Rattus norvegicus: one gene and its partner. The protein of the gene in region 1 interacts with the protein of each later gene in a biochemical or structural test. Links are inferred from orthologs where the notes say so. Each region holds a gene or a part of one and is shown on either strand. Other genes may lie near its edges.

Region 1 (15,996 bases):
CCCTCCCTCTGCCTCCAGTGATTATTTTGTTCCCTCTTCTAAGTAGGATTGAAGTTTCCACACTTTGGCCTTCCTTCTTATTAAGGTTCATATGGACTTCTTGAATATAATTTTATTCCTTTATGCTACCTGATTGAAAACAATTTCTACTATATAATCAAATGTCTTTTCATTATCCTATTAGTACATAAAATGAGAATATTAATATCAATACTAGATTTAATTCAAATAACTAAAATTTTAATATGATTCAATATTGGAAAACGGAAATATAAGTAACCAGATTACTTTTTATGTATTAATATAATCTTATATCAGATATATTAAAATTTGATCATGTATACAGTAAAACTTAGAGATAGGCTTTATTTCATTTGTTTCTTAGTGTGAAAATTATCATAGGCTAAGGTAATATGCTTTTTTATTCTGAGGAGGAAATAAAAATATTTTCATAAAATCAAAATCTTAAGAGGGGATGAGTACAAGAAAACAATGCAATGAAGAAAATGCATCTGCCACAAGATTAGTGGATGACAGGAACAAGAAAAGTCAATATTATAGATAGCAGGAAGAGGGAGTGTTGAGATTAAAAAGTAAGCAATGTCAATGTCATCAGAGATTATAGAGAATTTTTATGAAGACAAAGTTTTCTGGCACCATTCTAAATCTCAATTGCATCTGAATAATGGCATGTAAATCATTGTAATTGGCTATATCAGTTGGGTAGTGAATCATTTACTTTGAACTCATAAATGATCATTAACAATTTATGTCCAGTCACTCACTAGCTTTATATCATAGGAAAGACATTTTATTTTTCCCAAGAAATGTTTACTTTTATGATGTATTACCATATGTAATCTATTAGATATTATCTGAAAATTAACTTATAAAATATAATTATATTTTATTAAAACAGAATCACTATGAAAACTATTAGATTGTTTACATATAAATATCTGTAAAAGATTACCTTAGACAATCTTTAAGATTTTCTTTTGCCCAGAGACACAGCTGAAATATTATACTTTTGGAATAATATATACTTGAACTTGAAAGGAAGTATAGTAGTTATTTTTCTCAATGTGTGACCAAGTACTCTACAAGAAGCAATTTAAGAAAGGGGAATTTATTTTTACATTTGAGTCTTGGACAAGGACTTGAGGAGACTGTTCTCATTGTATCTGCAATCAAGAGGTAGATAGAAGGCATGAAATATGTGTGTGTAGGGGGTGGTCTATAAAACTTTAACATACCCGGTGACCTATTTCCTCTAGCAATGCTCCAACTTATAAAGGTTATTCAAAATCTTTAACTAGTACTACCAACTAGAGACAAAGCAGTTAAGCACATTATAATATTAGGGAGATTTTACATTCAAACCACAGGAAGTGGTAAGCATACTATACAAATGTAAAATTGTGGTAGCAAACAACTGGGTTCAGATCCCACCAGCAACTTCAGCTACTATTTAAGTCTCTCTAAACTTCAGTGTCTTTATTTGTGTGTGGGGGCATGGAAGTGATAAACCTTGGGAGGGGTAAATAGGAGTGATAAATATATCTGCAAAGGTGAAAAAGATTCAGAAATTTATTATTGTGAACAATGTATATAATAACACACTGATACACTGCTGTACTCTGGGGAAAATCACTAGCAAACTAGGAGGAAAGCATCAGAAGAAGCAGAGAGGATAGAGAAAGAAGAAAATCAATTTCTTTCTTTTTTTTAAATTTAGTTTTTTAGTTATTCACTTGACATTCTGCTCACTGAGCCCTCCTGGTAACTCCTTCCAACGATCTTTCCCCCATCCCTCCTCCCCTTCTCTTTGGAGCAAGTGGGGTCCCCCTTAGAATACCCCTGGCACTCCAACTCTCTGAGAGGCTAGGTACTTCTCTCCCACTCTGGACAGACAAGGCAGCCTAGCTAGAAGAACATATCCTACTGATATGCAACAGCTTTTGAGAAAACCTCCATTCCATATGTTCAGGCTTCATCTGAAGTTGAAGCTTCACATCTGCTATATATGAATGGGGAGGTCTAGGTCCAGCTCCTATATGCTTTTTGCTTGGTGGTTCAGCTTCTCAGAGCCCCCAAGGGTCGAGGTTAGCTGACTGTGTTGGTCTTCCTATGGAGTTCCTATCCTTTTCAGGGCCTGCATTCCTTCCTCCTATTCTTTAGAGAGTCTCCAAGCTCCATTAACCGTTTGACTGTGAGTATCTGTATCTGTTTGAAGCAGATGCTAGGTGGAGCTTATCAGAAAAAAACATGCTCCCATTTATAAGCATAACAGAATACCATTAATAATGTTATGATGCTTGCCCATGGAATGGGTCTCAAGTTGGGCTGGTTGTTAGTTGCCCATTCCCTCAGTCTCTGCTCCACTCCACTACTGATTCATGAACTGAATCGCTGATATCCTGACAGACAATGGAGATTGGATTTGTTCCAACGAACTATATCTAAATAGGTCCACATCCTCCTTTGCCTTGTTAACCTTTTTCCCCACTACCTCTGGTGGATGTTGGGCTAGAAGGGAGGTTAAAACATTTAAAACCCTTATTAAAAGTAGCTTTTCAAAAATATAAGCCTACAAGACTCTGGAGGTTGACCTGAATGCATTTTGTACTAAGAGATGTCCATGAGTCTATGGCAGTCAGTATGAAATATGAAGGTGCTTCAACTCCCATGCTGGCCTGGATGTCATTGCTCTATTGCTGTGAAGACTTCTTTCGGAGATTCATGGCAATTTCTGTGTTGAAATCCCCTAAAAGGTGAAATGATAACAAACCTTACACACAAACTTTGGTTTTCTATTGCATGGAAAAGAGAACACCTTCATTTTACAATTTAGTATATTTAAAGGTTAGAGTGAGGTTACTGAACTACTGAGAGTGTCTGGTGAGTGAGGATTCATCTAGCAATTTAGATGTGCTAGGACTCAGAACTGCCTATGAATATATTTCCACAAGACACAACTGAAGGCATCTTTCTTCTGATCCTCAAATTGTCTGGCGGTTTTCCACAGAGATATCTGAAACTAGGGGGAAGATTTACTGAGTCACAGGTTATTCTTAAATTTGCTCTTGATTTTAGAACAGAGGCAGAAGGAACACTCATTCAGAGCCTGCCCCACATGTGGCCCATACATATACAGCCACCAAACTAGATAAGATGGATGAAGCAAAGAAGTGCAGGCCGACAGGAGCCGGATGTAGATCTCTCCTGAGAGACGCACCCAGAATACAGCAAATACAGAGGCGAATGCCAGCAGCAAACCACTGAACTGAGAACAGGACCCCCGTTGAAGGAATCAGAGAAAGAACTGGAAGAGCTTGAAGGGCTCGAGACCCCATATGAACAACAATGCCAAGCAACCAGAGCTTCCAGGGACTAAGCCACTACCTAAAGACTATACATGGACTGACCCTGGACTCTGACCCCATAGGTAGCAATGAATATCCTAGTAAGATCACCAGTGGAAGGGGAAGCCCTGGGTCCTGCTAAGACTGAACCCCCAGTGAATGTGATTGTTGCGGGGAGGGCGGCAATGGGGGGAGGATGGGGAGGGGAAGCCCATATAGAAGGGGAGGGGGAGGGGCTAGGGGGATATTGGCCCGGAAACCGGGAAGGGGAATAACAATCGAAATGTAAATAAGAAATACTCAAGTTAATAAAGATAAAAAATTTTGCCCTTGATGAATGCATTGTTAGCCTTTTGTGTAGAAACTTCAGGGCTCTCTTCAACCCATGTGCTTATGGACCACACTAAATTTCAAGAACCACACGGAGAGAAAAACTGACTTTAGGTACTGTCAGAACTTGGACCTTCTAAGTCCAAGTGCAGAGTCAGCTTCCACGTAGTAGGATATGTACAGTCAGACATGATACTTTCTCCATGTGGTTGTTATACAAACTGACAACATGACCACTCCAAAGTATGATTAAGTAGAAAGTTTTTATTGTAGATATAAAGGAAGAGAAGCTCCAGTGGCAGCTGGAAGAGTTTAGAGCAAGCAAAGAAGGTAGCAGACTGAAATGGATATGGCCATCAAACTTGACTTGACTGTGAGAGGAAAGATGGAGAGAATGAGAAGATAGGAAGAGAGAAGGGGCTAAGAGAGAGGAGCAAAAAGAGAGACCTACGAGAGGAAGGCAAAAGAGAGCACGTAGCCAAATATAACAGGGCTATAAGGAGAAATGAGAAGTTGCAGAGAGAAAAACCATGAACTGAAGAAATTCAGGCTAAGGAGCGTGGGGTGAAGAGCCAGGATGCCAGCACAGATTCTGAAATACATAACAGGTACTCGTTATACTGAGGGAACCTGAAGGCTAGAATGTGCTTTGGTGTGCTAAGGGGCACCACAGATAGCCATTTCTACCTACTGTGAGTGAGAGGGAAGTCTGGCACTGTTAGGGAAGAAAGGCTTATAAGTTCCTTTGGAATGATGGCTTTTGTCTAACCACCAGCATTTGGATCTGATAATTTCCTGTCTGGGTGTTTCTGTGAGTCTTTCACATAGACACAAGTGTGTGTGTGCTCTTTTTGTCGTATCCCTTATGTGTATTAGCAGTTATCTGTGCATTCTGCTGCAGTCAAATGTTCAGGTCAGATTTCCATATTATGCAACATTGTGGCATTCTAACTCAAAATTTTTCTTCTTTTTACCAAGAGGTATTCTGAAGACTAGGGATCAGAAGTCAGTCCAATGACACTTATACTAGGTCACAAGAATGAGCCATGTAGGAACCATTGCCTCTACCATGCCTAGCACACACTCTCTCTCTGTGTATGTGTATGTGTGTGTGTGTGTGTGTGTGTGTGTGTGCATGTGCCTGTGCCTGTGACTGTGTGTGTGTGTGTGTGCATGTGCCTGTGCCTGTGACTGTGTGTGTGTGTGTGTGTGTGTGTGTATACATATATGTCTTCCTGCCACAGATGCAGTTGACTGTTGACAAGTAGAGAATTTACTGTTGACAATAGAGAATTTCCTATATGATGTATGTCATGGACTTTGGGATTCTTGTCTAGTTGAACTATCAATTTCTTAAGAATGTTTCTGCTGTTGATTGTGGTTTTGAGTTTCTGCCCCATTCCTGACTCCTTTGGTTTCTACACTTTCCTCTTTTTGCAGGGGAACAGTATAACAGTATGCATCATCCTCATTTTACATCTTGTTCACTCCCTCCCTTCCTCCTCATCTCTCCTTCCTTCCCTCCCTTTCTGCCTCCCTCTCTTCTGTTACTACAAACTCATCATAGCTATCTAGACACTGTTTTTGTTCTAAACTTTGGTTCCCACTTTCTGCAGTTTCCCTTATTCTGCACTGGGAGCAGAACACTTGAACTTCAGGGATGGACTCTGGACTATCTCACTTTTTGCTATGGTTTCTAATTTTTTTCTTTATTTGTGACTTAATTTCAATGTCATGACCAAAGGGAATGGAAGACAAATGAATAGCTGTGTTTGCCTTTTAGCATTCCAAAGTACATGTTAGTTTCTAGGCTTACTCAATATTTGTGGCTCCCCTCAGCTCTTCTCAATTTTCCCCCTATCCTAAACTCCAGGTCATTGGCTTTCCTTCTGCTACTCATTCATATAAAACCATGTCATTTCAGCCATACATGCTTTTGGCTGTCTCTTGGCTCTTAGGTATCTCTTAGTTCTCTTGGTCCCTCTCTTTTGGTCCTCCTCTCATACTCTCCTCATCTCTCTTCTCATGGTTCAGTCTTCTGGTCATGTCCACTCTACTACTTTCTTTCCTTCCTCTCAATTCTCACTCATGAGCTATTTACTGTCTTGGATGCATGATGGTTAGCTACCATCTACTCTCTCCTTAATTAACTTCAAATTAAATAAGAGCTTGTAGCTGTTGTTGTGTACATTAATTCACAAATCATAACTAAGACAGTTCTCTTCAAAACATTGGTTATATGTAACATTTTTCCTTATAACATGCCCTTAGGTACTGCTGTACTTTTTATGTTTAATCAATTGTTACTCAGAACAACTAAATCAATCAAGGTATCACTAAATTATACAATAGTGCCACTGACATCACAAGAGTAATCAGTAGCAAACTGGTATTAAGTCTGAATCAAAAGGAGGGAATCCCTGCCTGTTACTGCAAATCAAGCCAGGAATAATGACTAGAAGATGGCTTAGAAGAAAACTTATTACTGCTACTTTGCTAAATTAATGCAGATTCTAACTATATTCTAAATATTTGTTCCTAAATACCCATAGACAAGTTCAGCTTTCACCCCTCATCAAAAAAGCTTCTCTTTTACAGCAGAGAGAGGCTTTCACAGAGACACACAACTGCTCAACATGCAAAAATTGTGGAATTATCAGTATTATTGATACCCATACAATGCAAACTCTATGCCTAAGTCTCAAGGAATATCCCATAAGAGGTCAGAAATATTTGTAAAGTCCAGAGAATCAGGAGACCTATTTTGAGATGGTGTCTTTTAGAAAAGATTGGATTGGTGTTCCTATACATTTAACAATATGGTTGCCTAAACTTCCCAAGATGACACCAGATCAGGACAATGTAAACTGGGGAAATTTCACAAGGCCCTATAACTAGATGAAGAGTTAAGGTATTTGATGGCTGTGGCAATTACTTGTCGTCAAGGACCAATTTTCTGATAGGTTTTTCTAATCCTAAGAGGTCTCACGCACATATATATGTAGCAACATTAATTAGACTCAGCAGATTGCTAGTGTTCACATATATACACATCTGTATATGTACAGGACAATAATTATAGAGGAAGAAGACAAGAGTTGGAGGTGAGAAAGGTGTAGATATTCAAGTAAAGTGTATTCATGTATGAAATTAACGATTTAATTAATTAAATTTTAAAATTAAGATAAAAAGTCTTAAGTAGGTAAAAGATGACTTGTTATAAACTATAAGTTTAAAATTGGTAAGTAAAAATAAAAAAAAGAACAATTGTGGGTGTAAATTGTACATGTTACCGAGTGTCTTCAGCATTGCTGTCTCTTGAATACCACTGTGAATTTCACAGCTGAGTACTTCCAGACCCTTTATCTGTTTCTAAATACTAGCTTAGCCTATTAAAGGGTATCTTGTCCCATTTTAAATGTCTAAGTAAATATGTAATTTCCCAGGCCACAGCCATCAGAGATAATACTCAGCATATTTTTCATGAGATACGTTGTATAATTATCTTTCCAAAGGTACTCGGATAATAATAAAATAGATTTTGAACCTGTAAACAATGATGAGTAAGAAAGTTAAAAAATAACAAACTATGGATATTATTTACATAATAAGACACATGCTACTTTAACTTTTGCATTTTTTGGCTATCTACATTTTTGATTATTTTATTATAAGCTTCAATTTTATTATAGCTGAACTAACAATAAAAAATAAAAATGTCTTCTATCAGTTTTTATTAATATTTGTATCTTGTTAGCAAAATGATAGAAAAGTCATTACAAGTTCATCATGATTTGTATTGCCTATAAGTTTTTATTATTGCCAAATTTTTGAAAACTTCTGTCAAATTTCTTTGATAAAATGATGAGCATTTCAGGGTATTAAGCTCTTGTGACATGATTAATATTAAGCACTCTGAAGTGAGGGTTTGTAAATTGTTCTGATATTAATGTCTTCCATGTGGAGGGGTCCTAGACTGAAGAAAAAACAGAGTGAACCTTGCAACATTCATCATTGCTTTCCGTAGCAGGACTGGTGTTGCCATGTGCCCAGACGTTCCTGGGGCTGTTCTTCCCTGATTGACAGGCTCTCTCTGGGAACTGTGAGCAGAAATAAATCTTTCCTTCCCTTAACTGCTTTCTCAGGTATCTTGTCACATCCACTGACAAGCAACTACTACAATGAGTTATTAGAAGTTGAATTCCTACACATTTAACAAAATAGGAAGCAAGTCATCAGAAAATGCCAATCTGCATAGATTTGGGATATTAGACCATTGGGTTGAGTATCTCACTCCTGAAAGTTCTTATGGACTTAAGAAAATGCTTAAATGCTCTGTTCTCAGCTAATTTATCTATATGCTTGAGCTAGAGCAGTTAGCAAACCCTACACTGTATCACATTAGTGGTCCTACTTGTACTATTTTCTAGCTGGAATCTGTCATTAACATGCACATGAATAACTAAAAATTGTGCTGTATGTATTCAAACTATTGAATATTACATAGAAAGAAAAATGAACAATATGGAGTCATCTCCAGCAGATGAAGTTCTCAGTGAAGGACTCTACATAAACAAAGGAGTAAATTGCTTCCTCCACACTTACACAAAGTTCAGGTATATAAGGTCCATGTTCTTGGAGACACTGACAGTAGGTGGAAATCTGGAGGGCACAGAGGGGTTACCAAGGCTAGCAAGTTGGGAGTTGAGTATTGGCCTGGGTTCAACATCAATTCAGCATATTACAGACACTTTTTCACACCTCTGCTTTCTTATTATACAATACCGTAACTAGAAGCTAGAAAATTAGCATGTCAAATTGATGGATCTTTTGAGTTATTCATTCATAGCCAACGAGACACAGACCAGTTGCCTCACACATATAAAAAGAATTTCTTGGGAGACTCATTTCATGAATTTTAGAAAAACCAATCCCATAATCACCATCCCTCAGCATGACAGTCTTGACAACATTTCTGTACTATGCAGGGTGTTGGTCGTAAAAACACTGCCTAACGGAAGTTCCCTCAATGGTTTTTAAATTCGCCTTCATTGCTTTCTGTTCTGTGGTTTGTACACAGTAGAACACAGTTTCAAGGATTATGAAATCCAGCCCCTGCTCACATTTCCAGAAACGTGAACTTGTTTCCAAGCAAAACAAGCTGTGATTTACAAGAACAGCCCAGCAGGTCACAGACAGGGCGCAGTAACAGATGAGATCAAACGCCTATGCTGCTGGACTTGTGGTCTATCCTTTTAGTTTACTTTGCAGAAGTCGCTCATGGGTGGAGCATCTAGAAATCCTGATTTCCTAAACTAACTTTCAACTTCCCTTTGGGGCAAGTCTGTCTCTGCTGTAACCACAGTTCATAGCAGAGAGGAACTGGATGGTACAGCACATACTTCTCTTCGAGTCAACTGCTCCCAGATAGATCCAAGACATGAGACTGTCAGCAAGAATTATTTGGCTTATATTATGGACTGTTTGTGTAGCAGAAGGTAAGCTTAAAACCACCACCTTTCTCCCTTCTGACTGAGCCGCATTATAAAACATTTGCTGATAATATTTCTCATAGCAATTATTCAAATTAAGTCTAGAAAATGTGGGTAATTACTAGTCTGTAACTGAATGGCTTTTGGTGGTAAGTTTAAAAACCGTGAACCTTTCACTTGACTATTGTAATTGATAGTTCAGCTTGATGTAAAACTCAAGACAGTGCTTTAAACATGTTTTTGCAATCCATAATTAGGCATAGACATTTAACTTGTAGTTATCAGGAAATACAGGCTCCTCTTTTTCTCATGAGTGTCCCTGAAGTACTATATGTAAAACTAGTTAGAAATATATAAATATCCAAAGTCAATGAAAGCACTTACTTTTTTCTTTAAATGGGTGGATCGATTTCAGGCTTATTTCTAAACCTTCCTAACTACATCACTTAGCTGATATTTCCATGGTTTTAAAAGTTTCGTATGTAAGACCTTCAAGTATGAGATAAAAAGAAAATAAAATTTGACATGTAACCTGCATTGGACGGATCTGATTTGTTTCTGGTTTTGTTTTCTGTGAATACGTGTGGGGCATGTTTGTTTCTGAAGCCATTTTGAAGTAGGTAATGTGACTGTCGGAGTTCTTTCATGACAATAACAGGGTCTGACTTTATTATTCACTTAAATTCTCCCAAGACTGCTTAGTTTATCCAATGAAAGAGCTTTGCTTTCCCAGTTTAGGAAGGGTACCTAGTTGTGGGATAAACATTTAATCAACTCTTCTTTGTGTTTTGATTGTTTAAGATAGGGTGTCACTACACCCTTGAGCTCACTGTAGTCCTCTTGTCAGCAGCTTCCTATGGGCTGAGGTTACCAGTGAGAGTGACTGCCATGCCTGACTTAGCACTTTTTATATAAAGTGAATGACATAACTTTAATAACTTCCTTAAATGTTTCTCTTAGCCAATGCATTGTAATTTGAAGCTTTGCTGTAACCACTACTCAGTAAAGAATACTAAAATTATCCTCTGACTGGATGTTTACCAACCCACATAAGAAGAGTAGATATGGTTTCTCAGTTGTATCTTTTACTAAAATTCTGAAAAAAAAATTTAAGGGTATTTTATACTTTTTGAAAGAGTAAACATTTTCAATTATATTTTTTAATGTTATTCCTTGAATTTTAGCTTAAGAGTCTTGTATTCAGATGCCTTATAGACTAAGGCAGTCATTTCCTTGTATATGAAAATATAAGTATTGCTGAAATGAAATGTGATTATATTGGCCAGGAATTCTAAAGCAATGTTGATATTACCAAGCATAACTAAACTTTTTATTTTGTTAAAGGCAATGTTTTCATCGCTTATTTTAGTGTTCTACTTGAATAATAATGTTTACTAAGAGGTTTTTAAAGATATATAAGATTAAAGAAAGAACTATTTTATGTTTAGCTAACTTTTAAGTCTTAATTGATATAAATCGAATTAAGGTGTCTACACAATTACAAAGCAGAATTTCAATATTAAAAAGGAAGTGCCGCGATGTTTGCGTGATACTTTAACGCTAATGATTTAAAAATCCTCATTTATGCCATGGATGTCAGCTGATTTTTTTGTTATTGCTGGATTTGAATTTTCATCAGTATGTATTCAAATGTGGTGCCAGTTCTTGCTGATGAGGTGGGCAGTTACACTGTGTCCGATACTGTTTCACAGGGATTTTCCTTTCATTCACAGATGAAAAGAGAGTTTAGTTTCTAAATCATTATGTAGGGTAACCTCATGGTCTCCACAAAATGAATGTAAACAGATGGGAGAAGTTTCATGGATTTTCAGTGGACACAGTACTCCCACTTTAGTCTTAGCTTGGCTGGTGACCCGTGTCTATCTCAAATGTAAACAATTTAATCAGTCTATCAACTTAAGAGGAATTTCAGCAGAAGAGCTTGGATCAATTAAAACAATTATGTATATGCTGCAATGTTTGCTCCTGTTTCTATTCTATTAGATGCTGGCTACTAAGCTGATTTAAAAAAAAAAAGTTTGTGAAATGCTCTCATATTAGGCTTTCTGAAACAGGGAAGAAAAGATTTCATAAGTATTTTCTGCCCTGATAAAGATCAACATTCATCTAAAACCAATGTTAGCTGGGCCAGCAGGAACGGTAAACACAATAATGATCTTGCTTGGCAAAGAACCTGGCTACTTGAGTTCAATTCATGGGCCCCACCTGGTGAAAGGGGGAAAAAAAGCCTCCTACAGACTGTCCTCCAGTTTCCTCATACAGGCATGGCAACTGTATGTTACACCCACTCAAATTAAAAGAAAATAATAACCATAACAAAAAATTTAAACTCCACTATTAATAATTAAAGAATAATAACCAAAAGAAGAACTATGAACCCAGCTTGTTTGCCTCCCTCCCTCCGTGCCCCTCTCTCTCTCTCTCTCTCTCTCTCTCTCTCTCTGTCTCCCTCCCTCCCTCCCTCTCTCTCTCTCTCTCTCTCTCTCTCTCTCTCTCTCTCTCTGTCTCCCTCCCTCCCTCCCTCCCTCTCTCTCTCTCTCTCTCTCTCTCTCTGTCTCCCTCCCTCCCTCCCTCCCTCCCTCTCTCTCTCTCTCTCTCTCTCTCTCTCTGTCCCCCCCCTCTCCTTTTCCCCTTTTCTACTTGCCAAGGGCTTTCTCATATCTTTTTAGTGCAGTGCTTGACTGTATTCACACTTCTAGCTGCCAAGAACAGTCAATGGTGCTTCCTGCAAAACCACACGCTGATCAGAATTGGGTCAGATTTACAGGACAACCTGTAACATAAGAGAGTTCCTTGGTTGAGCCGTATAATTTCAGTTCTGGGGAATGGATTATACCCAAGCTTTCCAAGCATTTTACTCTCACAATTGAATATTGTATGAAATTAGGCCGCAGCCCAGGATTGCTGAAATGAACCAATTAAACCTGTGCTGAAACAAAACCAAATAACCACTGCGTGCTTTCTGGGGAGATAAGTGTTTTCTAATCCTGGAGGTTTAAAGGACAAAAAGGTCCTTTCAGGCTTAGAGACTTTAATCATAGAATGGAGAATTGGTTTAATTCTATAATGTTTTAAGTATATGATTTTTTCAAACTTAGTTTAACATTGATGTGGAAAAATTGATGTTATATACATTAATTATGAGTTAATAATAGTTGCTTTGGGGGAAATTTAGAGAAAAGTTAATTATTCTTTTATGTAAAATGATATTATATTATGTCAAAAAGTCAAGTGATTCAATGTAAGATATTTATACTTTTCCTTAAGAAAAAGAATTAATATGGAGTGTGTCTTACTTTTCCCTTCACTCTGTGTCCAAAGTTGAAAGCAGCTGATTCTGCAGCGTTCACCACATCTTAACTATAAACCATGTCTACAGCTTTTCCTTTGGCCTTAGCCATATTGAATATGAAGGTTTCACATGTCCCAAGTGACTGAATGAAGACGGATGCAGCAAGTTGCAATACAGAAGTGATATGTGCGTCACTGTGTATGTATTGTCACATACAGTACTGCATACACAGAGTTCTGTCAGTAGTATCACTGCTGTCCTTTGTCTTCAATTACTTTAGTTCTTCGAGATAGAGTCCCCCTGTTTGGCCCATGCTGGTCCTTAAACTCCTAGTCTTCTGGCCTTAGCCTCCCTAGTACTGAAATTCAATATCAAGAATATCTTATGCAGATTTTCTGTTGCTTTCATTCAACTAAATTGACAGCAATAGCTGGACCTTCCTTAGAAAAATGGAAAAATATTTAAATATCAAAACCTTCTAAAGAAGCAACCTATAGTTCTCTTTTTCTAGACAGAAAATAAAAAAAAATCCAAAAAGTAAAGGTCAACTTTAAAACATACATATAAGTAATATTATATATACTGATCATGTTATATTTAGAAATATATATGTATATGCATATATGCATATAATTATAGTTATGAAAATAAGTAGTCATGGGGTGAAAGAAAGTAAAGGAGATAGGTGGGCAGTATTGGAGAGACAAGAGGAAAGGGGAAATGATGTAATTAGATTATAATCTAAAAAATATAAAAGAAATAAGAATAAAAAAGAAATGGAAATTTTGGTGGTAAACTAAAAAATAACGTGTGGATTTACAAAGAGAAAATACATGTCTGCATGTCTTCAATGCTTTCATTGACACAGAAAACCAATTTCGGTATCTTGCTTTTATGCTCCTTTATCACAGCAAAAATTTATAAACATGTCACAGGACAAACCGGGACTTTTAAACCTTTCTTGTATTTCAAATTATAATAAATATTTGGATTTATTGCTGCAGTCTCTACTGTGAGCATAATGTTTACTTTCTTTCTTTTTTTAAAATCATAATGTTTTCAAAGCCAGAAGACATCTGAAAACTCTGAAGTTGACTATCTTTGGTATTTCTTTGGCTTTCTTGTTTGGGACAAAACTGAAGGAATTCACAATGTCAACCAAACCACCTATTGCCATTAATAGTACCTACTTGCAAAGTCCTAAGTTTCCATTAACCAAACAGCACAAACCGAATCCATTGCAGTTGTTTCGTTTCTCCCATTGAGGAAAAAAAAACAACATCCTCGTAGCCTCCCTTTTCTGAACCTTGAAATTGGAACAGTAATCTTTTTCACACACACCATGGAGGCAGTGCATAGATAGATCCCCACATTTCTTTAAGGAAAGTGGTTGGATTGAATAATCAGGTGTGGGACAGAGATGTCAACATTGAAATTCTTCCTTGAGTTTGAATTTTGAGAAGAGTCTAAAAGAGGTCAGGTTGAAAGAACTTGCATCCTGTTTGATAAGGTTCTTCACACAGTCTAGCATATTTATTAAGCTTCTCGGTTGTACTCTCCCAGGCCCCAGAGGTCAGAGGTCCATGTATGCCACCTTCTATCACACTTGCTTAAATCCACCCTAGTAGATGCACATGAGTATTAGAGATCATTATGTAAACTAGACACTAGGGCACTACTAGTTTATTACCTAAATTAGGCATTAATGTCAGTGGAGCAAGTAACCTCTATCCCTACAACACATGTTTTCAGGATAGAATTATATTTCCCTAAATCATGTTACTTGGCATTGTGCCCCAATTGTCTTCAGTGTCTTCTTTCATGCAACTCTTAAAGTATTTGACATGTTTATCGTACCACAAACTCAACCAACCTGTTATTTATGTGTAAGGGACCACATAGTTAAATTTAGTGCTATTATGTGTAATTTACTGTGAAATTTCACTGATAGAGGATAGAACTGGAAAATGGTAAGGGACAAAATAGACCAAAGACATTCTGAGACAGGAAGCTTCCTAGGATGAAATGCTGTAACAGGTGACAAAGGGTGGAGAAGTTGCTCGCAGGCAGGGTGAAGGTGGTCAGTGAAAACAAGCCTTGCTTATCATCAGCACAGTCATGTTCTAGGAATGTGCATGCCCTTTGCCAGGATGCTATTTAAAACTAAACCATTTAAGTAGTGCAAAGCGGAATTTTTCTAAGGTAGGAACTGCCACAGAGTAAATAGTCTGCCTCTTTGTCCTTAGATTGCTCAATTTTGAACTCTCTCTCCCCTTCCAAATTAATCCATGTTTATTTCCTGACTCTGATTGTTAGTCTTTACTTCCTCCTTCTCTCTCTCCTTCCCTCACTCTCTCCCTCAGCCCTCCCTCCTTCCTCTCTCTCTCTCTCTCTCTCTCTCTCTCTCTCTCTCCACACACACACACACACACACACACACACACACACACACACACACACACACACACACTACCTCTACCTCTCGACATTTAGGCAGATGCTGTCCACCAAATCCTCAAACGCTCAGTTGACTGATGTTAACTTTAGCTTTTCTCAGAGCACAAAACATGAAAAACAGATAAAGTAATTGGGAAAAAAAATGTTACTTTTTTTTTTTGGTTTAAAATTAGAAGAAAAAAAAAGTCTGGTTCAGATAAAGTCAAGCAACTAAACAGAAAAAAATTCCAACCGTGAAATAATAAAAAGAACACACGGATTTGACAGAACACTTTTGTTTTGACATTTTCACTTAGAAAGTCTAGTTTCTCACAGAGTGTTAACTGGAAATGGGATAGATAGAGGACGATTATAGAAACACCCCTTCAAAGGTTCCGAGGGAACTTTTATACTTCGAGCTAAATTCAAGTGACTCTAGACTTCAAAAACCGCAACATAGACAGATGTGCAAACTCTGTAGAGAACTTTCAGTGCATGCAACAGGCATTCAACTCCACCAGACAGTGGTGCTCTTGCCACTGCCTCCTCCTCCTTTTCCTCCTCTTTTTTTTCCCTCAAGTTGTCTCTTTCTTTTCCTTTTTCCAAGTCTTGTCTTTTAAGTTTCCCATTTGCCACTCTCAGCTGTTGGTGGCCCTATTGACTATATGGGTGTACACTGTGGGAAAGTTCCTACAGTCTTTTTTGCGTTCGCTCTCTCCTCTATTCACAATCCCTTTTGAATAACTTTTAAGTACTGCGCAATATAATACTTTCCAAAAGGTTGTCATTTAGTGGAGAGGAAAAGAATGAACAGTGTATTGAAATATTCACATACAGTAGCTCATCTTATAAACTATTATGACTCAGATTTTAAAAAGTTCCTAAAGCAGAAAACTGAAGTTGAAAAGATGTGCTGTATACACAAAATGAATTTTTGTTCAGCTACAAAAAATTATGAAATTTATAGGAAAAATTGATGAATTCAGACTCACAGGGAGACAAACTCTGCATGCTCTCCTTCACATTTTGATTCTAGTTTTTAATACATATACTTTATATA
Region 2 (15,812 bases), about 34 Mb from region 1:
ACCAATGGACAGAAGCTGCTGACCCTTATGGTTGAATTAGGGAAAAGCTGGAAGAAACTGAGGAGGGCGACCTTATAGGAGGACCAGCAGTCTCAACTTACCTGGACCCCCCAAGATCTCTACACTGAGCTAGCAACCAGGCAGCATACATCAGCTGATATGAGGACCCAAACACATATACAGCAGAGGACCTTCTGGTCTGGACTCAGTCAGAGAAGATGCACCTAACCCTCAAGAGACTGGAGGCCCCAGGGAGTGGGGAGGTCTGGTGAGGTGGGGTTGGGGGGTGAGGCATCCTCTTGGAGATGGGGTTGGGGGAGGAGATGTGGGATGTGGAACAGTCAGAGGGTAGACAGGAGGGTGATAAAGTCTTGACTGTAAAAAAAGATTAAAGAATAATTAAAATTCTTTTCTATTACTTCCTTGATTATTTCCTTACTCCTAATATAAACATTTTTCTTCAAAATAATAGTTTCTTTGGGCTGAAGATTTGGTTTGGCAGTGAAGAGAACTTGTTGCTCTTCCAGAGGACGCATGTTCAATTCTCAGCATCTACGCGGCAGTTTACAACGGACTGTAACTTCCGTTTCAGAGATGTGCTCTTCTGACTTTCACAGCAGCCAGGCATGTAGACGGTGCTCTGACGTACATCTATAGCCCATATAATAAAAAATTTAAATTTGAAAAAAATTGTTTGTTATTTGCTTGTTCATGCTGCATATAACCCAACTAATTAAACATTTCCTCTTTGCTTTTGTTTTTGGAGACAAGTCTCACGCAGTTCAGGCTAGCCTAGAACTTGGAATATTGCAGAGGATGACTTCGAACTCTTGGTCTTCCTACGTCTATTCCCTAAGTGCTGGGATTACAGATGTGCCTCACCATTATCAGCTTTGCCCATCTGCTCTTAAATCCCCGAGACAGGCACATCTGTATTTGTTAAGTGAGGTACATTGAACCTGTGGATGCCCTTACTGCTTCTGTGGCCTATCTCTAGCGACTATGAGAAGTGAGCAGGAAATACTGGCAGGGTGTATCAGTTTATCATCAGCATTGGAAACCTTCTGGGTCTCTACAAACTCTTGGGGCAGTGTCCTCCTTGGGCTAGAGGAATCTTTCTGCCTCAGGCTGTGAATGAGGACTCTGCTGCTTAATGCTTAGGTAAGGGAGTGAGGTGTGGAGTCTGAGACCCATAATCAACCCTGCTGCCTCACGCTCTACCACTCATTTCCAGTATCCTTTAGGGTGTGCGAGCGCAGTTTCGCAGTAGCCCTTCTCTGCATGTTTTCGGTTATGATCTATTCCACTGATGTATGCTTCCTGCTTTCTGGATTTTATAGAATTCATTCTCCTTTCTGCCGATGAAACTCCTTTCTTCCCCTGGCACCATATTGATCTACTTTTCAAAAACATATTTTCCATCATTTGTAGGAACTGAGGTGGGAAGAGGATATTGGCATCTGTGTTCAGTCCCCCCCTGCTTATATTTGTCTTCTATGATTCCTCTGTGACTTCTTCCTCCAGTTACGTCTTCATCCATTTGCTCTACAATCTACCGACAATGTGCCAACTCTGGGTCAGGCTTGGACTCAGTTGTCTCTTAAGAGGATAGTACAGATATAAACGATCCTCACCATGCATCTCTACATAGATACAGGCTGATATGAATATTTCTTAAGGGGTGGATTTCTATAGGTAAATTCATCTTATCTAGGAGGGCAGTTTATATCTTTATCAATTGGTTATGAGTTTATTGTGCAGATGTATTGTGGATTGAGAATTTAACAAATAAATCTGATTTTTGGGTTGCAACAACAACAAAAGAGAGGATAGTACTGTTATCCATAAGTAAAAGGGTGTGATTTTTTTCTCATTTTTCATAAGAGGCATATGCAGTCTTATTTGTATGAGTCAATTCGCATATTTATTTTTTTATTTTGCCTTGGTGGCCCAGCTTGGGCTAGACACTAATCACCAATAAGTGAAAGCCACTGATCTAGGTGTGACCCAACAATCTGTTTTGGCCCCACTTGCATAATGCTTGATATGTAAGTGATAGAAGTCTTCATACATTGCTCTCTGATGACTCTGCATTTAGTCAGGTTTCCATTCTCCTCAGTGGTTCCAGCACGTCTCTCAAGTCTGTCTCCCCTGAGATCTTAACTGCTCCTGCCTAGTTCTGACCCTTGTCACATTTACCTTAACTTGTTTGGCTAATGGCTTAGTCCATGGTCTTTAGAGCAGTTCATAACATTTGTCGTGGTGAAATTGATGTAAAGTCCATTAAGTCTATGAATTTATAATCTCTCTCACCTTGATACAACCTTTATATTTTCTTCCATTAAAATTTAGAAACACTCATCCAAGTATATAATTTCCTTATTTAGAACCTTATTTATAAACCTTCAAACTCAATTGCTTAAAGTAAAATGGCCTTAGAAGCAATATTTTTATAGATTATTTTATTAGGCAGTTTGTACAAGTAGTAGAATTAGTATAGTAATACATTATGAGCACAAATGCAATAATTTTCTGGTTAAGCTGATAATTCTACTGGTGACTAGGAAGTGGGAAATATGGCTTTATTCATGACTTAATTAGGTCAATGGGGTGAATAAAACAATGAATTGTTACAATCTATAGAATTTTGACTGGCAGAACAATAAAGATTTGGAGTATAAATATATTGATTTACAAAAAATGAACTACTGTGGTTAGAGGGGTTCAAACAAAAATCTGAAGTTTGTGTATGGTAGTAGAAAATAAAGTTTGAAAGCTGATAAACAACTTCAGCAAAGTGGCTGGGTATAAAATTAACTCAAATAAATCAGTTGCCTTCCTCTATACAAAAGAGAAACAAGCCTAGAAAGAAATTAGGGAAACGACACCCTTCATAATAGACCCAAATAATATAAAGTACCTCGGTGTGACTTTAACAAAGCAAGTAAAAGATCTGTACAATAAGAACTTCAAGACACTGAAGAAGGAAATTGAAGAAGACCTCAGAAGATGGAAAGATCTCCCATGCTCATGGATTGGCAGGATTAATATAGTAAAAATGCCCATTTTACCAAAAGCGATCTACAGATTCAATGCAATCCCCATCAAAATACCAATCCAATTCTTCAAAGAGTTAGACAGAACAATTTGCAAATTCATCTGGAATAACAAAAAACCCAGGATAGCTAAAGCTATCCTCAACAATAAAAGGACTTCAGGGGGAATCACTATCCCTGAACTCAAGCAGTATTACAGAGCAATAGCGATAAAAACTGCATGGTATTGGTACAGAGACAGACAGATAGACCAATGGAATAGAATTGAAGACCCAGAAATGAACCCACACACATATGGTCACTTGATTTTTGACAAAGGAGCCAAAACCATCCAATGGAAAAAAGATAGCATTTTCAGCAAATGGTGCTGGTTCAACTGGAGGTCAACATGTAGAAGAATGCAGATCGATCCATGCTTATCACCCTGTACAAAGCTTAAGTCCAAGTGGATCAAGGACCTCCACATCAAAGCAGACACACTCAAACTAATAGAAGAAAAACTAGGGAAGCATCTGGAACACATGGGCACTGGAAAAAATTTCCTGAACAAAACACCAATGGCTTACGCTCTAAGATCAAGAATCGACAAATGGGATCTCATAAAACTGCAAAGCTTCTGTAAGGCAAAGGACACTGTGGTTAGGACAAATCGGCAACCAACAGATTGGGAAAAGATCTTTACCAATCCTACAACAGATAGAGGCCTTATATCCAAAATATACAAAGAACTCAAGAAGTTAGACCGCAGGGAAACAAATAACCCTATTAAAAAATGGGGCTCAGAGCTAAACAAAGAATTCACAGCTGAGGAATGCCGAATGGCTGAGAAACACCTAAAGAAATGTTCAACATCTTTAGTCATAAGGGAAATGCAAATCAAAACAACCCTGAGATTTCACCTCACACCAGTGAGAATGGCTAAGATCAAAAACTCAGATGACAGCAGATGCTGGCGAGGATGCGGAGAAAGAGGAACACTCCTCCATTGTTGGTGGGGTTGCAAACTGGTACAACCATTCTGGAAATCAGTCTGGAGGATCCTCAGAAAATTGGACATTGAACTGCCTGAGGATCCAGCTATACCTCTCTTGGGCATATACCCAAAAGATGCCCCAACATATAAAAAAGACACGTGCTCCACTATGTTCATTGCAGCCTTATTTATAATAGCCAGAAGCTGGAAAGAACCCAGATGCCCTTCAACAGAGGAATGGATACAGAAAATGTGGTACATCTACACAATGGAATATTACTCAGCTATCAAAAACAACGACTTTATGAAATTCGTAGGCAAATGGTTGGAACTGGAAAACATCATCCTGAGTGAGCTAACCCAATCACAGAAAGACATACATGGTATGCACTCATTGATAAGTGGCTATTAGTCCAAATGCTTGATTACCCTAGATGCCTAGAACAAATGAAACTCAAGACGGATTATCAAAACGTGAATGCTTCACTCCTTCTTTAAAAGGGGAACAAGAATACCCTTGGCAGGGAAGAGAGAGGCAAAGATTAAAACAGAGACTGAAGGAACACCCATTCAGAGCCTGCCCCACATGTGGCCCATACATATACAGCCACCCGATTAGACAAGATGGATGAAGCAAAGAAGTGCAGGCCGACAGGAGCTGGATGTAGATCGCTCCTGAGAGACACAGCCAGAATACAGCAAATACAGAGGCGAATGCCAGCAGCAAACCACTGAACTGAGAACGGGACCCCCGTTGAAGGAATCAGAGAAAGAACTGGAAGAGCTTGAAGGGGCTCGAGACCCCATATGTACAACAATGCCAAGCAACCAGAGCTTCCAGGGACTAAGCCACTAACTAAAGACTATACATGGACTGACCCTGGACTCTGACCTCATAGGTAGCAATGAATATCCTAGTAAGAGCACCAGTGGAAGGGGAAGCCCTGGGTCCTGCTAAGACTGAACCCCCAGTGAACTAGACTGGTGGGGGGAGGGCGGCAATGGGGGGAGGGTTGGGAGGGGAACACCCATAAGGAAGGGGAGGGGGGAGGGGGATGTTTGCCCGGATACCGGGAAAGGGAATAACACTCGAAATGTATATAAGAAATACTCAAGTTAATAAAAAAAAAAAAAAAGAAAATAAAGTTTGGAGGTTGGTAAATATGTTATATTATTCCCTTAGTCTCTATGATGGTTAATTTTAATTTTCAACTTAATACAATCTAGAATCTCCTGGGAAGAGAGTCTCAGTAAAGGATTGTCTAGATCAAGTTGATCTGTGGGAGTTGGGTGATCTTAACTTAGGTGGGAAGGCTGCCCACTGTGAGTGGCACAATTCCCTAGGCAGGGGATACTGAACTGCATGAGAATGGAGAAGTGAGCTGAGAACAAGCATGTGTGCATCCATTGTTCTGTTTTTGATTATGGTTGTGATATAATCAATTCCCTCAAGCTCTTGTCTCTCTTCTCTGTTATGATGGACTGTAACTTGGAACTGTGAACTAAAATAAATCCTTTCTCCCCTAAGTTGGTTTTGTCAGCCATTTTATATCATAGCAACAGGAAAGGAAGATAAGACATTCTTGAATCTCTTACTTCAGTTTTTGTGGCTCAGTTTAAATGCTGTTTCCATGTAAAAGGTTTCCTATGTAAAGATACCAGGATGTTTCAGGGCAGGAGATGGCCAGTATGAAACCATGGTCTTTGGTTCAAGGATTGCTACAAAGGTGTTTCTATTTTCTTAAGCTCTTCGAGATGTGTAAATATCACAAACCAACTGCAATATGTAAATTAAGACAAAGGGATTTGTGAATAACCTACTTTTGAAGATCAGAGTTCAGTAAGGGCACTTGTAACAGATAAGTTCAGAGACTCGATGTGATTGTTTCTCATAATTGGGAGTCAAAATTGGAGTGGAGGGGCCAGAAATCACTTCTTAAGGCCTTTACATTTGTTCATTTTAAAAACAACGTTTAAAAATTCTAGAAAGAGTTAAGAACTGTGCCGAATGTCAGGTGTTGTATAAGATTAAAAAAAAAACCCAGAAAAAAAATCGGTTATTGGGAGAGAGGGAGAGAGAGAAAGAGAGAGAGTGTTGTTGTTTTCTTCTTCAGTGATTGATGTCAGAACCAGAAATCCTTGAGTTAAGGAGGGAGATTGGAACAATGGAGGTCTTGGTTACAAATAACCTTTCTATCTTCCTTCTTTTTCCCTTTGTCTTTCTCTTCTTTCTCTAAAATGCAATGTTTATTATAGTTTTGGCGTTTGGGGAAATGATAGAATGAAGGTGAAATTAATGATGCGTAAAGCAGAAAGAAACACTTGGTGGCAACATTCATTGGGTGTTGGGCCATCTGGGCCTGTTACAAAGGTGCAAGTTTGACCTTAGATGCATTGTGCAACTGTTTATTTCTTATGAGGAGTCAGAAAAGCAGGTAGATTTTATGATGGAAAGATACAGAGTGGTAGCAACCAAGCTTCAATATGAGAATGACCAATTTTCAGCGACTTAACAAAATATAAGTTTGCATATTCTTCAAGAAAATATTTGGGTAGATGATATTTAAGGGTTGAAACAATGGCTCTATGATAACATTTACTGGTGCAACCTATTTTTTTTTTCTTTTTTTTCGGAGCTGGGGACCGAACCCAGGGCCTTGCGCTTGCTAGGCAAGCGCTCTACCACTGAGCTAAATCCCCAACCCCCGGTTCAACCTATTAAGTTGCTGTGCCAGCCTCTACTTGCAGCTTGTTATGGGGAAGATGGGGAAGGTGATTGCTCTCTCTCTCTCTCTCTCATCAGCCCCCACCAGAAGGCAAGAAAGGAATGAAAGGGAAGTCATGAATCTTTACTGTAAAGGTGCAGCCTAGAGAGTGTCTCTTTTCTGACCTGTAGCTGAGGCTGAGAAATCTAGTAGTCTTGGGTAGGATGAGAATGCATCCATCTTAAAACGGAATTACTGAATGAATGGCTCTCTGCTTCAGGGGATACAGTATTTTTCCCTCTAATTTCTCAATTAGAGGGTGACTCATAAATGGAATGAAAGAATGAATGAGATTGTGAGGGATTCAGGAACAAGGTGAAGGAGCACGGTATTCAACTAGAAGACTCAGGTAAGCAGAAAACTGCTTAACTGTTAGGCAGTGTGGAGGGACCACTTAGATTCTGGACAAAAGAAGCAAATGTTAACCATTCTGAATTCTCCCTGATGCTTCCACATTAAAAAAAAGAAAAAATAAAAACCAAATCAACAAACAAACAAAAACCCAGTCCGTTTCACGAGATTGAGCCATAGTACATTTGGGATAGGACAGGTGTTCTCTTCAGTCAAAGGTCTCTGATAAGTCTGTGCAGTTGGCCAGGGAAAGTTTGTTCTTGGTTCTGGGAATGGAATACTTGTTTTCTTCATTTCCCAGTATGGGAAGGAGCAGCTTCCAGAAGAGGTTAGCAGACCCTGGGGATTCAACCATCGCATGCACACTCATGAGCGCTCATCTATTAAGCTAAAATTTCCCATTATTTTCTCAATATAGATAGGCAAAATGGAGCCTTGGGAAGGTTTCTCATTTTTCCTGTCACACAGAAACTGGTGATTCAGGGGTCACAGGAGTTTGCAATAAATAACCCACATCGATTTCTCTGTTCTAGAATGTTTTTTTTTTTTTTTTTTTTTTTTTGCTTCCCTTCCTCCCAGTGGTCTGATGTTTACCCCAAGAGGCAGTGTTAGGAAATCATTTACAAAGTGGTTCAGCCTCTCCATCTGCTACAGTTATAAATCTAAGGATGGGCTGTGCCTGAGGCAGGGGATCCAGGACTTCTTGCCCTTGATCTTTCAGACAGAGCTCTGTCCTCTTAGTCCGGATCCCAGCAGAGTCGACAGCCATGGAGAAGCTACTATGGTGTCTTCTGATCACGATAAGCTTCTCTCAGGCTTTTGGTCATGAAGGTAGGAGCTATTATAAAGTTTTTTTTTTCCCTAGGGGAGGACGATGGGAGCCTAATATTTTACATGAGGAATTCAAGGATCAGGATCAGGTATAGCTGTGTTCCATAAGGAACCTGGGAGAGGGTCAGATGTCTCTTGATCCCAAACCCTACTTGTAAGGGAGGATACGTCTTCATTATCTGAGAAACTACTCACTTTGTTGGTTTTCTGTCTCACAGACATGTCTAAACAGGCCTTCGTATTTCCCGGAGTGTCAGCTACTGCCTATGTGTCCCTGGAAGCAGAGTCAAAGAAGCCACTGGAAGCCTTCACTGTGTGTCTCTATGCCCACGCTGATGTGAGCCGAAGCTTCAGCATCTTCTCTTACGCTACCAAGACGAGCTTTAACGAGATTCTTCTGTTTTGGACTAGGGGTCAAGGGTTTAGTATTGCAGTAGGTGGGCCTGAAATACTGTTCAGTGCTTCAGAAATTCCTGAGGTACCAACACACATCTGTGCCACCTGGGAGTCTGCTACAGGAATTGTAGAGCTTTGGCTTGACGGGAAACCCAGGGTGCGGAAAAGTCTGCAGAAGGGCTACATTGTGGGGACAAATGCAAGCATCATCTTGGGGCAGGAGCAGGACTCGTATGGCGGTGGCTTTGACGCGAATCAGTCTTTGGTGGGAGACATTGGAGATGTGAACATGTGGGACTTTGTGCTATCTCCAGAACAGATCAATGCAGTCTATGTTGGTAGGGTATTCAGCCCCAATGTTTTGAACTGGCGGGCACTGAAGTATGAAACACACGGTGATGTGTTTATCAAGCCGCAGCTGTGGCCCTTGACTGACTGTTGTGAGTCCTGAGGCACCTCCTGGGATTACATTCTCTCCCTTGTCCCTCCTTATGAACCTTTTAACCCCAGCAGATGTTGTAGATCTGTTTTGTGAATATGGCCTTTCACTTCTCTGCTCTGTGGTCCTCAGCACTAGAGCATGGAATTTAAATGTAAGGCTTCCAGCATGTGCATCCCACTACTCTTTATCAAAGAGAACCTGACTTACCCACGGTGTGTGTATGTGTATTTAATTAAAAAATTTTTAGACATAATCCTTCTCCCTCACACAGATGAGAAACCAGATGCACAGAAAGGAGAATAATTTTTTATTGTTTTTGTTTCAGAATGTCATATTGAATGGTGTACTTATATCCTTTCTATCCCTCCCTCTTCAAATCCTCTACTATCCCCCCCAATTCTCCCTCGAATTCATGATGTCTTATAATTAGCCTTATATGCACATACACATCTATCTATCTATCTATCTATCTATCTATCTATCTATCTATCCATCCATCCATCCATCCATCCATCCATCCATCCATCTATCTATCTATCTATCTATCTATCTATCTATCATCTATCAGTAATCCATCTTACTGATTACATTTAGTGTTTCTTGTATTTTGTTGAACACTTGAGACTGGATAATCTATCAGGAGGTCTATCCCTGAAGAAAACGGATTGTCCTTTTCTCAGCAGCTGATTACCTCTAGCTCTTCATATATGGGTGTGGCTTTGTGAAATGTTTCTGTCCATGTTGCATGTCAACTGGAATCATTGTGCAAGTCTTTTTTTGGGCAACCCAGAGTGATGGAGCACTGACTACACTGTGCTCAGAATCAGTTCTTTTCTGGAATAAAACCTGTACTTGAACTTTCCAGATTCATGAATCAATAAAGTTACCTTTGGCTTGAACAAATTTGAGCAGTTTCATGACTAACTTTATTATTGACCCTCTGAAATCAAGACTCTAACTTCAGGCTGACTGGCACTGTCTTGCCGAAGCATATCCCAGCCACCCTACCCTCTGCTGCTGGAATCTTTTGTGATGAGTCTCTCTGAGGTGGACAGCCCTACTTTGGAGATAGCTGGTCATTCACGGGGTTCAGGTGTGGGCTTCTGATACTCTCCCTTTTAGAATTCCAGTTTGAGAACAAAATTCTAAAGACCTTTGAGAGTCATGTATCTGGAGTCAAGTCCAGTGATGGAAAGCATTTGTTTCAGTCTGTTTGGCTGCTTTATAGAAACAGACCCCTCAATGTTTCTGGCTTTTCCCAGAGGCATCCTTTATCATGGTTTTTCTGGACTGGGTAAACAATAAAGTCATTCCATAAGGTTTTATTGAGGGTTGGAGAAGGGGCTCCTTCAATCATTATTTTAGGGAAGGCATAGGCTAGAATGGTTAAATTTAAAGGTTCTAGAATCAGGTTGATGTCCTGGTTTTATATCTTACAATTATGTGACCTCTTTGAACTCAGTTTTCTTACCTCTAAGTAAAGAGAAATAATTTCACTCATTTAAAGGTCATTGTAAGAGGTGGATATGATTACATAAACAGTAAGCTCTTGTAAGAATCACCCTCCGTTACTATTAGTTGATTTTATACTACATGCCTAAATGTTACACACCCTGAAAATAGTGCTGTTGGAGTTTTGTCTAGGTTGGCAGCATGTGTGTTTCTGATTTGCTAAGAATTCAGTTCAGATCATTAGGTGGACGAACAGAGTGTCTTTGAAGAAATTATTTATGAATATCGATTTCCCTAATTGACCTTTGATAACCATTTAGAATCACAAGAGTTAGGGAAATATATTCTTAGGCAAAAATGCAAGTGAAGATAATTCTCCATTGTCCAATTAGGGCAGATCCATATACCCTGACACTCAGCTAAGTGGGAGAGAGGGGTGATGCTCTTTTCAAGTTAACGAATCTAACCAGGAGATATGTCTTAATTATAGAAGGCCGTCCCAATTCCTCAGGGATGTGGGATGAGCTAATATGTTCTTCAGAATTCAATTATGGGTACCTTGTACACACAGTCTAGTGGAGAGCCTCTGGCCTGATAATTTTATCCAGGGAATTTTTAACAGGTAGTATTTGCATTCGGCGTGGATTAAAAAAATCTTAATAAATACTTCTATAGTGCTTAAACTTAAGCAATTTACCTCTCTAGCAGATACCTTGATGTAATATTCTTAGAAAATGTATTCCTAGGTACCTGGTGAATTGTCCTAATATATGAAGTTGTTAGATGTAATCTAATAAAACCATGTCTGCTGAGAATGATTTTGATTTGGGAATGTTGGTGCTGGTATTTTTTATTTTTTATTTTTTTGTAAGTAGGTAATACCAACCTTCTATGTTGGTCACTCTAAGTGGTATTGGCAATGCTGTGTCATTGCACTGGGCTTTTCAGGGATCATGCATCAAACTTATCCCGGAACCTTAAAGAGCAAGTTAGAAACACAGGGAGCCCCTGCTCTACTTAAACCTTGATATTAAAACTAGGCAGTGGCTAGGAAGATGGCTCAGTTGGTAAAGCACTTGTCTTGCAAGCTCGAGGACCTGAGTTTAGTACCGAGAGCCTACACAAAGTTGCCTGGCATGGTGGTCCATGTTTGTAATCCCAACACTGGGGAGGTAGGAAGAAGAGAACCAAGGAGGCTAAATGGCTAGTCAATCTGACCTAAGTTGGCGAACCAGATTAATGGAAGACTGTTTCAAAATATGTAGATGATGTTCCTGATGATGATCCTTGAGATTGTTTTCTGGCTTCTACACACATGTGTGAATACATGCACACACAACTGCACATAGATATGCGCGCACACACACACACACACACACACACACACACACACACACACATACACACACACGTGCACTTAAAACCAAGGCAAAAATATTATGCCTTGTTTACAAGAAAGTTAAGTGGACTTATTTAGAATTTCTTTTTATACAGAAAATGGAGACTTCTAGTTCTAATCTTTAGGCAAGGCCTGAAGAGACGTCATAGTTCATTTACAGGCTAGATCCAGAGGATTGAGCCATAGCACAGGTCAGAGCACCCAAGGGTGGTTAACTACGCACACAGCTTTCTTTTGTAATTGAAAATTGACATTTGGTACAAAGGTTAGGCCTAACCCTGGCCCAAATGGCAGCCTCTAAGCAGCAGATGCGACACGGTGCTGTACTGTCAGGAGCCAACATAGGAGAAGCTAAAAACTAGCAGGTGATCTTCCTGATACAGTTCAGAAGCCTGGCACATCCCTGTGTCAGGTAGAAATACTGTATTACTGCTCATGAAAGAGGCTTTGCATGTTCTCCAATAAGAGCCGTCATGATGATGTCACAGTTAAGTCTGGGAGTTTTGTAGGTGCAGATGAGTCTGTGAGGACCCATGCCTTTGGTAAGATCTGGTCTATCTAGAGCCTGGAAGATGGACTACAGATCTCTCCAAAGGTGGAGATAGGGTCTGACAGACAGATTCGTAACGCAAGTTGACAAAGTAAGGAGAATATTAAATTTGTGAATCTTTGCCCTGTGTTTTTTTGCTGTCTCCAATTTTATTGTGTTGCAGGAAAGTCAAGCTTAACACAAGGAAAGCAAGTGATTCCAGGTTATTAATAAAAAACAACAGAACGTCACCCACAACAAGTTTTAAAGACATAGTTTTGGTCCCTAGAGTCCCCTGAAAAGAAAGTGATGCTTTGATTTCTAAGTACCTCCATCCCAAGATAACTCCCCTCTTGCCTCTGATAGGTTGGTCTGGTGACCTGCAAAGATTCTTCCCTTCCGTTTCCGGTCTCTATCTCACCTGTGGATATCTGTTCGTTTCACCTGGACCAGAAAATAAATTAAGTGGGCTTATTTGTTTTTTTTTTTTTCCTACAGAAATGGAGGCTTCTAGTTTAATTTCCCTGGATACCTGGCCCAGTGATACACTGTAGTCTCCTAATATGGAAATCATTACCTCTGGGGTGTTGATCATGTGTTCAGAATCATTGACTTGGGAACTGCTAGGCCAGGCTCTATGCCCAGTGTGTTTACAGAACTAGTCTTATCTGGTGGGCATTCTTAGCTCCCATTAAGCCTCAAGGCAGGTGGTTGTATTCAAAGATGGATTTAAGTCCTCCTGGCCCAATTTTGTTATGTGAACACAAATATCCCATCCTACAGACATAATGTCCCATCAAGGTTCTGAGGGTGCCAGCTACCTAATCCCAGGGAAGATTATCTCATACTGTTTAAAAGTACCCTATACTTTTTCTTAAAGATTTATTTATTTTTGTCTTATGTACATCGGTGTATTGGCTGCATATAACTGGAGTAATAGACAGTTGTGAGCTGCCATGGAGGTGCTGGGAATTGAACGCGGGTCCTCTGGGAGAGCAGTCAGTGCTCTTAACCACTGAGCCAGTTCTTTAGCCTCACTAATTTTTTTTAAAAATTATTTTATTTTTGAAATTAAATATAATTACATCTTTCCCCTCTTTCCTCCATCTAACCCTTCCCATGCATCTCCCCTTGCTTGGTCTGATACGTGTGGACTATATTTCTTTAATTATGGCTACACACACACACACACACACACACACACACACACACACACACACGGGAACAAAAAAAATACTACACAGTATGTTTAAGGGCTGGCCACTTGATATTGGAGAACCAACTGTGTGCTTTTTCCTGGGGAACATTATTCTCCACTGTCCCCACTCTCAGCATTCCTTAGTTACCTGTAGTTCTTTGTCTAGGGTTGAGGCCTCATGCGTTTTTCCCTTCAGTGTTAGCACATCTATTGGTGTCACCCTTGTTCAGGTCTCGTTTAGGTAGCAGTGTTGATGGGACTTCATAATGGAGGCAGTGTGTGTGTGTGTGTGTGTGTGTGTGTGTGTGTGTGTGTGTGTGTGTAGATTGTAAGAGCTACAGCGACAAGGAGTTTCCTGTGAGCTCATCTCCCAGAAATGAAGCTAAAAGTGCCTTATTCTGATCTGAGCTTTTATTGTATACTAGACACTGAGGCCTTTAAACACACTTGTTTGGAGATTTTGTAAAGATTCGTTTTAGAGTACTTACTTTCTCTCTTTTAATATATATATATATATATATATATATATATATATATATATATATATATGTATGAACACCTATGTATTCATTCTTCTCTCATATATTACATCCCGACCACAGCTTCCTCTCCCTTCACTCCTCCCAGCCTTCCCCAGATCCTTCAGAAAAGAGCAGGCCTCCCAGATACATTAACCCAACACAGCATAACACATTACAGTAAGACTAGGCACAAACTCTCGTATCAAGGTTGGACCAGGCAAACCGGTAGGAGGGAAAAGGTACCAAGAGCAGGTGAAAGGGTCAGAGACATGCCACACTCCCGTTGTAAGGAGTCCCACAAAATAAATCATAATATATATGCAGAGGCCTTAGCTCAGACCCATGAAGGCGCCATGATTGTAGTTTCCATCTCTGAGAGCCCCTTCGAGCTCTCCTTAGTTGATTTTGAGGGGCGTGTTCTCCTGATGGATTGTAGGAGCCAGAGTACTTACCTTTTTTATATTTATTTATTTATTTATTTATTTATTTATTTATTTATTTATTTATTTATTTTAGGCTTGGAACTCACTACATAGATTAAGTTGGCCTCAAACTCACAGAGATTTTCCTGCTTTTTTTTTTTTTTTCTCTCTCTGAGTTAAAGGTATGTGCCATCATGCCCGGCTAATTTTTGTTTTATATGTAAAGAAACCAAGGTCTGAGGAGGTTAATCAATTTTCTTAGCCTCTGACTACTCATGGCTTATCCCCTGCCCTTGTGCCCACAGTGGAAGGAGAGTGGGGTATGGGGATAAGTGTCTTTCTTTAGGGAGCCCCCATACTTAATTTTTGTTTTTCTTGAGACAGGGTATTTTGCATCCTAAGCCTCAGTATCACAGTATAACCAAGGATGACCGTTAACTTCTGATTTCTGGGGTTACAGGTGTATGTGGTACTTTACCTTGATTGGTGCTGGGTATCAAGCTTGAGAGCCTGTGCAAGGCAAGCACTCTTGCTAGTCAAGCTAGACCCCCATTCTAAGTCTTGTTCTTATCTATCCAGCCTCAATGTTAAGACAGCATTAGGCTGACTATACTCATGGCACACTGTTAAATTCTTCTCCAACCTGGAATACCCACTCTCTGCCCCAGATTATCAATGCCTCAGACAACGCCTTACCATGAAGCCTTCTCCACAGACACAGAATGGTGGAGACTTCCATACCAGTAGATCTCAACTCTAGGTGCCAGCTAGAGTTACCTGGCCAGCTTTCAAAGACCTAACAGCCAAGGCTTCACCCAGATCATGACACTAGAGTCTCCGGTGACGAGACCCAGGTGCCGATGTTTATAAATTTGCTCAAATAATTCCAGTGTGTAGCGAAGTCGTCCACTGTGGAGGATGGGGTACCGCTATTCTTGTCGATTGGTGGCTTTGAGAAGATTCCAGGGGTCTAGGAATTCTAGGCTGCTCCAGGATCAAATAAAGTGACAGCCAGGTGTTTTTCATGTTATTTATTCAATAAAGCTGCACAGAATTGACAAACATCCTGCCTTGCCTCAGGGTGTTTTTCTTTTCCCGAAGACTGTTACTCAGATTGCTGCACTTTGGGGTGTTTCTCTCATCTACAGAGGCTTTAAATCAGGGAGAATCCTACATGCCAAGGTGTCTAGGAAAGCTCAGATCCTTACATATTTTTTATGAATCATCACAAACTCTAAGGAAAAGAGAGGAGGTTCCTGCCGACCTGCCCGAGGGAAGGGTCAGGTCACATTGGAGGCTGATTTATTGTACCCGACGCTCCCTGAAATGATTCCAACAGTTACAGAGCTGTGTCAGCAGCTGCTGGGAACCAGCAGGGATTGTTAACTGGTTCACAGGGACTCTCTCTCTCTCTCTCTCTCTCTCTCTCTCTCTCTCTCTCTCTCTCTCTCTTTCTCTCTCTCTCCCTCCCTCCCTC

The links.
Region 2: the proteins of Cfh (region 1) and Crp form a complex in vitro, tested with the Homo sapiens proteins (12 studies listed by BioGRID and IntAct, with this or other methods). The link is inferred for Rattus norvegicus from reciprocal best matches to the Homo sapiens genes CFH and CRP.

The regions. Positions count from the first base shown.
Region 1 is NC_086031.1:54,157,614-54,173,609, reverse strand, and holds the start of Cfh (complement factor H precursor), read left to right. Parts: upstream 1-9,086; 5' UTR 9,087-9,135; coding exon 9,136-9,193; intron 9,194-15,996. UniProt on the Homo sapiens protein: Glycoprotein that plays an essential role in maintaining a well-balanced immune response by modulating complement activation.
Region 2 is NC_086031.1:87,686,262-87,702,073, forward strand, and holds Crp (C-reactive protein precursor), read left to right. Parts: upstream 1-7,800; 5' UTR 7,801-7,912; coding exon 7,913-7,976; intron 7,977-8,194; coding exon 8,195-8,823; 3' UTR 8,824-9,717; downstream 9,718-15,812. UniProt on the Homo sapiens protein: Displays several functions associated with host defense: it promotes agglutination, bacterial capsular swelling, phagocytosis and complement fixation through its calcium-dependent binding to phosphorylcholine.